Kluyveromyces lactis: one gene and its partners. The main gene of each other region encodes a partner of the protein of the gene in region 3 in a complex. Links are inferred from orthologs where the notes say so. Each region holds a gene or a part of one and is shown on either strand. Other genes may lie near its edges. The genes, in order: STE18, GPA1 and STE4.

Region 1 (2,078 bases), on a different chromosome or scaffold from region 3:
ACCAAATCCGATCTGTTTGGAGGACTAAGTGCGAACGCGAAGAACGATGATGCATCAGGTACGATTATGCCGAAGATGCCTGATCAGGAGGCGAAAAAGGCTTTGGGGCGGGCTTCATGGAAATATTTCCACACTCTTTTAGCCAGATTTCCCGACGAGCCTACAGAGCAAGAGAAAACGAAACTACGTGAATTTCTTTACCTATATGCGGAGTTATATCCATGTGGCGAATGTTCTTACCATTTCGTCAAGATGTTGAAGAAATACCCACCACAAGTAGCCAGTAGAACCACTGCTGCTTTATGGGGCTGTCATATTCATAATCTAGTGAACGATCATCTTGAAAAACCAAGGTACGATTGTAACACAATCTTAGAAGATTACGACTGTGGATGCACTGACGAGAACGGTAATATCGATCCATCTTTGAAAATGAACAAAGTAACGTTGAACAAAGAGGAGAAACAATTGGGATGAAGTGAGGGAATCGTTTACCCTCCGTATGTGTCAATTGAAAGAATAAGATCTAATATTGTTGCATTCGCATTTCGTTTTATCTAAATATATATGTAACTAATAAGCATAGAGAGTATACGGCAGCAATATTTTTATCATCACATTATGGTACAACAGGCACTCGTTTCCTCGTGAGATCTAGCAAAATTGTTCTTCCTCATAGTATTATTATATGGGTTTTCACCAACCATTGGGTAACCCCATACTTCTGGAACAGCGTAATCCTTATGGGTTGAGGTATAGTCGATTATGGACAAACAAGCATTTGACGCAGTCATTCTTTCCCTTGCTAGCTCATTTCTTAATTTATTATTCAATTCTTCGATTCTTCTCAATTTCAATTCCTGGATCTTATATGGTAACTCTCCCATCAGTGGTACACAAATACAAACTCGAAAACTACACCAAGGAAGAGAGCTTATCTTTACTCACTCTTATCACTGCACCGAGTTTTTCTGCAAAACAGTTGTACCAAGCGTTAAAACTACCAATTACAAACCTTTATATACATAAAACCCTTGACTGAAACAACGTTTTCTTTTAGCAATCCTGTACTAAATTTCCCGCTGGCATGAGAACCTCCAGTATCTCAGTCAATATTTGTCTGGTTGTGGTTCATCTTGAAACCTCAAATCAGTATCTAATGAGGTTTTGGCCATAAAAAAAACTCATACTGACGCTGTCCAGCGCCTGGGAAAGGAGACCTTTTTTAGTCACGTGACTGTCGAACCCCGATCCAATCCCTTTTCTTTGCTTTCCCTGTATGAAATTCAGAGATAAAAGTGAAAACAAAATTACAAATGCAATGACCATCATCATGATAGACATGTTCAAACTAAATACACCTCACAATTTATATAGCACAACCCAGTCTAGTTCTCACCGACAGAGTTCATCTAATATTCACAAAGATAACAATTACAATGGACCATCCAAGTTTTGCTTTAGCTGCTCTAGCCACCATTGGTGGTACCATGGGTTACATCCGTAAGGGAAGTGTTCCATCGTTGGTTGCCGGGTTGACCTTCGGTGGTATTTACGGGTACGCTGGATACCTTTTGAAGAACAATGCTGACAACGGGTTAGAAATCGCATTAGGTGCGTCCAGTGTGATGCTAGTCACCGGTATCGCCAGAGGTATCCCAGGCAGATTCAAGAAACCAGTGCCAGTGGTGTTGACTGTTCTTGGTGGTCTGGGTACTTGGTACTACTACAAGAAGTACAAGGAATTCTACCCATAAGAATACTACATAATGTGAGTACATATCATTCGTTTTAACTGTTTTTTTTCTAAATCTGTATATAGGTCTAATGTTAAAGTCGAATTCATGAAACTAATAGTAAATATTAATATTATAACAGGAAAAATGATATTGAATTGGTAAAATGCATATAATATAGAGTGAGAGAAATATAATAATATATGGTAGTATAATATATTATTGAAAAAAGATAGGTGTTCGTTACAAGTAGTGAACGTAAGCAGGGTTGATAGTCAAAAATTCCACTATCAGAAAATTAAAACCAGTTTAATCTTGTAAAATGCATGGGGTATGATATAT
Region 2 (3,435 bases), on a different chromosome or scaffold from region 3:
TTGTCGTACGCCTGGAGACGATGGCAGCCGCCGAATGCAAAGTACCTTGTTTCTCCTGTTTCCGGGTAACGGACGGCAGCGACGTCCACTGGAGGTAGACGCTGATCGGCGGGTAATGTGGCAACACGTTCTGCAGCTTGTGACTCGGTCATTGTTCGAGACGCCTTCGGTGTTCCCTTGAAAGTAGATATCATCGCATCGATCTTTGCATGGTCTAGGACCGGCTGAATGGGCCGTATGATCTGGCTCAATGGGATGTTCTTTTCCTTGCACAAACTCGTCTGCATAGACATTCTCTGTAATGGTATGTTGGGTGTGTATGTTTTTTTATGGCTCTTGATTAACGGTTATATCCTGCAAGTATCTATATATTGTCAGTACAGTAGAACTTCGTCAAGCAAGGGTACTTATGTGTCTTGTTGAAGTTCTTAAATAGTAGACTTGCTTGCTATCTTTCGTTACCCGGAAACACCCTGTTTTTTTGCCTTTTCACTTTTAACCTGGCCTTTGTGATGGGGTCTGACAAATATTTGAGGTTACCCTCTAAAAGATCTAGAACCTTATTCATCGCTTAACTATGTACAACTTATATGTAATGTGTGCGCGTTACCTGACATATTACACCTAAAGGATTTATAAGATGCCGCTCTTTTTTAGGTTTTGTTGAATTACTAAATCTGTCACGGCACCTAGAACGAATCTCATTGATTGTGTATCGGTTGCACAAGTTCGATGTACGTAGATGGGCTTGTTACTTCTGTTCAAGCTTAAGAATAATGATTCGAAATATTTCAGTCCAGTCTCGCTATCACCCAGTTTCCCTGGATAATTGGGGAACCATGTTCTGATTGGAGATCTCTTCACCTTTTCTTGGAAAATATCTACTTTGTTTAAGAATAGTATGAAAGGTGTGTTGGCAAACCATCTAGAATTCAATAGTGTATCTAATAATACTATCGATTCGTGCATACGGTTCACCCTTTCATCTTCGAATAACATTTGATCATATTCACTAATTGCTATTACAAATACCACAGCAGTAATACCTTCGAAACAATGGATCCATTTTCTTCTCTCGCTTCGTTGTCCCCCAGCATCGTAAACTTTGAACGTGCTTGGTCCAATCTTGAAACTGTTTTCGGTGATCCCAGTGGTCTTAATTCTTCCTTTCAAAATGTCCATGTCATCACAAACATAATCAACTCGAGCGAATTTTTCAATGTTATCAAAATAATACGATGCAGATCCTTCCAATTGAAATTCACTTGACCTATTGAAACATTGTCTGATCCCCTTGTCCTGCGTCCAAAGCTTTTTGATTGCATAGGCAATTTCTTCGTTGGTACTTTGGTCTATACGTTTCAACTCTGAAGTCTCCGAGGAACCAGTATAACTTGTCCCGGCTAATTTTTCACTCAAGAAAGCGTCTGTCTCATCCTCTTCTTCAGGATCAGCACCATTTGATTCCTTGAATCCAAGCGTGGTTTGCCTCTTCTTCTTAGATCCTATGCCATTATATTTCAACACATACTCGTTTAGGAACTCTGAACCACCCGCCATTCTGGCATCAATCTGGTCCAATGTGTTAGCACGGAAGATCTTCTCTTTGCATTGGTGTAATTCCGTATTCACCAATTGCCCCGAATGTGCATTTTTCAAATCACTATCCAATTCGATGCCCAACTTGCCTGCTTGTAAGATTAGCGTTCTCATCGACTCAATTGCATCTGCCCAGATGACTTGTCCATATTGCATTCGTTCTCTATGGGTAAATCCGCCTTGGTGTAGGAGTTTCATTTGTTTCAACACTGTTGATTTACCGCTTTCTCCTGCTCCTAATAGAAGGAGCTTCACCTCATTCTTATTCTTATTCCTTTCCTGCTGTAAATTTTGCTCAATGAGATCATTTGCCCTTTTATTTTGAATGAAGGGATCATCCTCGTTCTCATAGTTTCCTGTACTTGCGACGCAACCCATAATGCTTAATTTCTTGCCGGCCAGCGTCAGTTTCTTTCATTTGTTTCATTTTCCTTTATAGTTCACGTTTTCGCCGTAGTTGGCACGATGTGGCCAATCCGTCTATATATATGTTAATATTAAAAGGTAACGTAGCAATATTTACTTTACATTCCTGATTTAGCATTGCATAGCCTTTATCATAGGAACCTCAAAACATGATGAAGCTTTGAGTCAAGAACCTCAACTCAGATACCCTAGAAATCTCACAGAGACGACAACTAAAATCAAGCTCAATTGGAAAATAAAACAAGCAAGTAAAAAACAAACAAGCACTTGACACTGTTTAAGGGTTTGCTTCCTTTTAAAAAACATTCCTAGCAACGTCCCTGTTTCAGATTTAGGTTGAAGTCGCTCTGCAGGTAATTACTGCACCACAATATGTTAACGGTGGCTGCAAGATCGATTGCTATGTACAACGGAGAGCTGTCTCCATCTGGAGGTCAAGTCACGTGAGAAACAAGGATGTTTGTCGCACATTCGGGTAATGAAATGTCATCTCCCGTGGATATCAATTTCATTCTGAAACTTCATCAATTTGATATCAATTGAAAAGAAATGAATGAAATGGAAAAGTATGCAGAACATGCGAATACAGGAAAGCTTATTCATGCGCATTTCATCAGGATAGGCTTGAACGCAATAGTTCGAAATATAGAAGCAACATCGTTGGCGGCTTAAAGGGGATTCGCGACTGTTTAGAAGCTAACTGTGGAGTGCAAAAGAATGCCAGAACAGCCTAAGTGTCCTGTGGATGACTCCACGAAGGAAGTGTGGTTGAAACAACAGAGCACTAATAATAAGAATGAATCAGCAAAAGCACTACCTCCAAATCATCCACCGGCTAGTTCTGAAGGGTCAGGAGTTTGTCCGGTAGACCATTCTTCCCAGGATGTATGGCTGAAAAACCATCTACAGACCGTTAATGGCTCTGCTGGCGGTGCTGCAGTTGCAGCAGCACCAGCACCAATCATATCGATCATCACTGAGGATGTCGAATGTTCAAGTGATGAGATACCTGAACACCCGAAATATACCACAGCTGTTAATTTGCCAACAGAGAGAGAGAAATCCTCCATTCCTAGAACCGGAACATCGGATAATTGGGTTTATCCATCAGAGAAGCAATTCTTCGAGGCAATGAAGAGAAAAAATTGGGATCCCGAAGCTGTGGATATGAAAGCCGTTGTTCCCATCCACAATTCCGTTAATGAAAGAGTATGGAATTATATCAAAATTTGGGAAGACGGACAAGGGGGAGATGTCTGTGGTGGCATCAAATTGACTAGTTTCAAAGGCGATTCAAAGAAGTTAACCCCAAGAGCATGGTTTAGATCCTCAATCCTTGGAATGACCAAACCTTTTGATAGGCACGATTGGGTCGTCGATCGCTGCGGGAAACAAATAGATTATGTCATC
Region 3 (3,393 bases):
AATAGCAAAGGTCAAATTTTGCTCGACAACTTACACTTTTCATCACGAACTATCCTTCGATAATAATGCGTACAATGTTGATTATGAGGGAAGGTTTCCCTACCATCAAACCAAACTGCGGGAAGAGTTATTAAATTCTGGCAGTGTACCAATTTACAATGAAGATGAAATAAGTTTGGGTCAAGTTACAAACTTACAAAGGGCTATTAATCTTATATCGGTATCTGATGTTGATACTATTCAAAAGGTAATTAATACAATTGTTACATTTCCTCCGGTATCTGAAGAAATTGCTAAGAGACGTCATCAAGAGGATGACATTGTAATATTATTGTCTCAAATTCCGAACCAGCTGCTCAATAAAATTTGCAGGTTGGTGGAGGCTTCCTCAGCTGCATCTTAAAGTTTCACTTACTGCGATGAACAAGAGCCAAACTGAGCGGTTTCAGTAGTATTATAAGGGCTATTTTGCGGCTTTTTTCGATATGCATTACCATTCTCAGTTCATCATTTCACTGATGAACCGGTGTCCAAACTTTTAGGGTCATATCCCATGAGCTAGACACTACTGCCATTCCATCAGGGCTCGTCTTGACGGCATTTATTCTGTTTCGATGACCATCAACTTTGCCAATCATTTCTCCTTTGATAATATCCCATACTGCACACCCGTAATCCGCATAACAAGCGTACATCAATCTACCAGAAGAGCTGAAATCTATTGATATGACTCCTTGATCTTCGATACAACTTTCCTTGAAATTCAAAGATTGAGGTGTTTTTACAATTGGATAAGACGAAGTTGAAGAAGAGGATGAGCCATACCGATTTTTTTGAATACGAGAATAAGCATGAGAATGAGGATGAGGATGATGTTGTTGTTGAAGCTGGTGCTGCTGAAGTAAACCGTCTGAAAATGAGTACGTCGATATCTGACAATCACTTCTTAAGTCAAATAACCTAGCGCTACCATCATCTGAACCCGCCATGAAGGATTCTCCATTGTTGAAAAATTTGATGGCACTAACATCACTATCACTGATGAAAAAACTTTGGGCTGAATTCGGCTGTCTAACATCCCATAGATACGCATACCCGTCCGATCCTCCGGTGATGAAATTATGACCATATCGACCAGTGTTTGCTGGTGGTAAATCCATGGTCAAGACATCGCCTAAGTGATCTATAAATTCCGTAACTCTTTTACTTTTAGGAATATCCCACATAGCGCATGTCATATCACCACTTGCAGTCAAAATAGTCCTCTCATCAAGAAACTCCGTAGCTGAAATGTAGCAGGTATGGCCCTTGAAGATGGAAATCACATTCTGTTGTATTCTATTATCTCTTGAAACACGATACACTGAACAATGATTGTCCAAACCCGCACTTGCAACCAGATTTCCGCTGGGACTGATAGCGCTACTCAAGACCCATTGGGATAACAAGGGGATAGCGCTTTTTTTAAGCCCAGTGAAGGGATCCCATATGATTATAAACCCGTCTTGGCTCGAGCTGAGTACGCTTGCCGAATCCTGGCTCCATTTTACGTCTGAGATTTTATTATTATGTCCTTTCAAAGTTCGAACCGGTTGTAAGTTTAACTCGTGTAATGAATTGACGCCGTGAGACAAGTTCATCAATTGAGTGTCTTGAATTTTGCCTTTAATTCTGTTGATTTGGTCGTATAACTGCTTGCACTCCGTCTTTGCTGTCCTTATTTTGTCCTCCACTGTACCAGCTGAATTCATATTGGGATAATGGTAATCGTGCACAATCAGTTCCTGTGGACGAATTGCATATTCTGCTGAATCGACTTCCATCTTGGATGCTGTTTGCAACTAGACACTGTAATAAGGAAAGGAAGGGGGTTGAAATGAAATGAGTAAGTATCGAACTTTGCAAACTTCAATCAATGATCACCAGCATTAGAATCTGCGATTCGATTAAGAGGCACTCTGAAACAGATTTCGTCCTTTCTGCTGATTTCCTCTCCAGGACCTTCATATATATATATATCCCTAATTTACTCACAACAAACTAATTTACTACAAATATGAACAAGGCAATGTACCAAAAATGCCCATTAACGCCGCGAAAGGAAACGACCATATTTCTTCCATCATGTATATATATATCATGCATAAAAGTCATGTCATTTTTGCAAACAACATTAAACCTCCGAACCAAAGCTGTACAGGCAATCTTTCTCTGCTATTTCACTTGTTTAACAGATTGTCAACTTCGATGTATATGCTGTACTGCTGTTAAATCCTAATGAACCAATGCCTTATTTAGTTCGCTATGTAACTCAATTGCTAATTGCAGCTCAAACTTCCAGTCATGGATTTAGACACTCCAAATAAAAGCAAAAGTAATATAAAAGATATCAATGCACATATTCAAGCGTGCTTTCCTTAGCGTCTCGTTCTACAGCATGAGGAATTGTATCCTCAAAAGGGCCAGTGTCGAAGCTCCCCAGTGAAACAGCGTTGTATATTTCACATGATGCCTAGAAAAGCCTCTCTTAAACAAGACAGATCTTACCAAGTTTTTGTGAAATGACAACCTCAAAAACTGTCGCTCTTTGCAAGACGATCTCCACGCTAGGTGAAAAAATAAAATAAAGGAAGCCTACGCGAACACTCAATACAGACGCAGACTATCACATAGCTCTCACACCTTACTTAGATACATTTACTATGGCGTTATGGCATTTACTGCGTTCAGTTTTCGGTGACAGGGGAAAAGGTCTCCGGTACCAGGAACGGTTAATGATGTGTGGCTTGTAGCAACCAAAAAAAACCACTGTTCTAGAGTCCTAACTTCGAATGCAACATGTAGTCGAATTTGCTATCATGATGCAATGATACTATGATATACCTAATGTTCCCACATGAAAGAGCTTGCTGGCCACAAACCAAAAAAATGTAAAGATTAGGGAATCGAATAGATCCTGTTGTGAAAAACTGCTGCATAAGGTTATTCAAGGACGAGATGATACTATGACTATGCATTCAATGATAACTACGAGTTTATATATGCTAAATTGGTCCCGCTTTCCCGACGCTCACATCAGACCGCTGGTTTGGGCTTGGATTTGGGTTTCTTCTTGCTTTTCAGACCTCTTTCTAAATCACCTGTCACCTTCTCCAAGTACTCTGGAACTGGTTTCATATTTTTTAAGTAGTGCATTTTCCAATTTCTTGCCTTGTCCTTCAGTTGAACTTGGGACCTGTTCTTTAAAGATTCCGACACCGTTCCTCCAGGACCGTACAGAGATAATATTTTGGCCCATGCAGGTCCGCACTGTTTCAAACCGGATTTCAAACAATCTTCTTCCTCTTGTGTCCACATCTTTTTTTGCTTAGGTTTTGTCTTGAAGGGCTTAAC

Evidence for each region.
Region 1: the proteins of STE4 (region 3) and STE18 are in contact, whole or in part, in a cryo-EM structure (PDB 7AD3), measured with the Saccharomyces cerevisiae proteins. The link is inferred for Kluyveromyces lactis from reciprocal best matches to the Saccharomyces cerevisiae genes STE4 and STE18. Residues at the interface, in NP_014855.3 of Saccharomyces cerevisiae: Ile60, Ala63, Ser64, Leu65, Met68, Ala69, Leu75, Lys79, Asn81, Phe279, Asp281, Ser284, Met296, Asp298, Arg300, Ser301, Ile305, Ser360, Gly361, Arg362, Leu379, Gly421, Tyr422; in NP_012619.1 of Saccharomyces cerevisiae: Arg50, Ile51, Thr52, Ala53, Ser54, Asn55, Ala56, Cys57, Leu58, Thr59, Ile60, Ile61, Tyr63, Thr64, Ser65, Thr67, Lys68, Asp69, Tyr70, Thr71, Leu72.
Region 2: the proteins of STE4 (region 3) and GPA1 are in contact, whole or in part, in a cryo-EM structure (PDB 7AD3), measured with the Saccharomyces cerevisiae proteins. The link is inferred for Kluyveromyces lactis from reciprocal best matches to the Saccharomyces cerevisiae genes STE4 and GPA1. Residues at the interface, in NP_014855.3 of Saccharomyces cerevisiae: Asn85, Gly90, His91, Asn92, Lys94, Ser104, Gln112, Asp113, Phe115, Leu117, Ala122, Ser123, Leu125, Lys126, Gln127, Asn128, Ala129, Gln135, Trp136, Leu138, Leu154, Asn155, Asn156, Arg168, Cys182, Tyr183, Asp224, Leu226, Ser248, Asp272; in NP_011868.1 of Saccharomyces cerevisiae: Thr7, Gln8, Thr9, Ile10, Asn20, Lys21, Ala23, Asn24, Ile27, Glu28, Ser30, Leu31, Gln32, Glu34, Lys35, Asp38, Lys43, Thr301, Gly302, Ile303, Glu305, Leu318, Arg324, Ser325, Glu326, Lys329, Trp330, His332, Cys333, Phe334.

Annotation. Positions count from the first base shown.
Region 1 is NC_006041.1:557,255-559,332, forward strand, and holds STE18 (Ste18p), read right to left. Parts: upstream 888-2,078; coding exon 615-887; downstream 1-614. Other genes in the region: ERV2 (flavin-linked sulfhydryl oxidase), read left to right, coding at 1-477; TMH11 (Tmh11p), read left to right, coding at 1,440-1,757. UniProt on the Saccharomyces cerevisiae protein: Implicated in the pheromone A- and alpha-factor response pathway. The beta and gamma chains of the putative yeast mating response pathway G protein play a positive role in initiation of the mating response.
Region 2 is NC_006042.1:2,405,139-2,408,573, reverse strand, and holds GPA1 (guanine nucleotide-binding protein subunit alpha), read right to left. Parts: upstream 1,978-3,435; coding exon 634-1,977; downstream 1-633. Other genes in the region: SRX1 (sulfiredoxin), read right to left, coding at 1-293; cytochrome c1 heme lyase CYT2, read left to right, coding at 2,743-3,435. UniProt on the Saccharomyces cerevisiae protein: Alpha subunit of the heterotrimeric guanine nucleotide-binding protein (G protein) that mediates mating pheromone signal transduction.
Region 3 is NC_006040.1:584,719-588,111, reverse strand, and holds STE4 (G protein subunit beta), read right to left. Parts: upstream 1,824-3,393; coding exon 513-1,823; downstream 1-512. Other genes in the region: KLLA0_D06809g (uncharacterized protein), read left to right, coding at 1-403; TBF1 (Tbf1p), read right to left, coding at 3,076-3,393. UniProt on the Saccharomyces cerevisiae protein: Implicated in the a- and alpha-factor response pathway. The beta and gamma chains of the putative yeast mating response pathway G protein play a positive role in initiation of the mating response.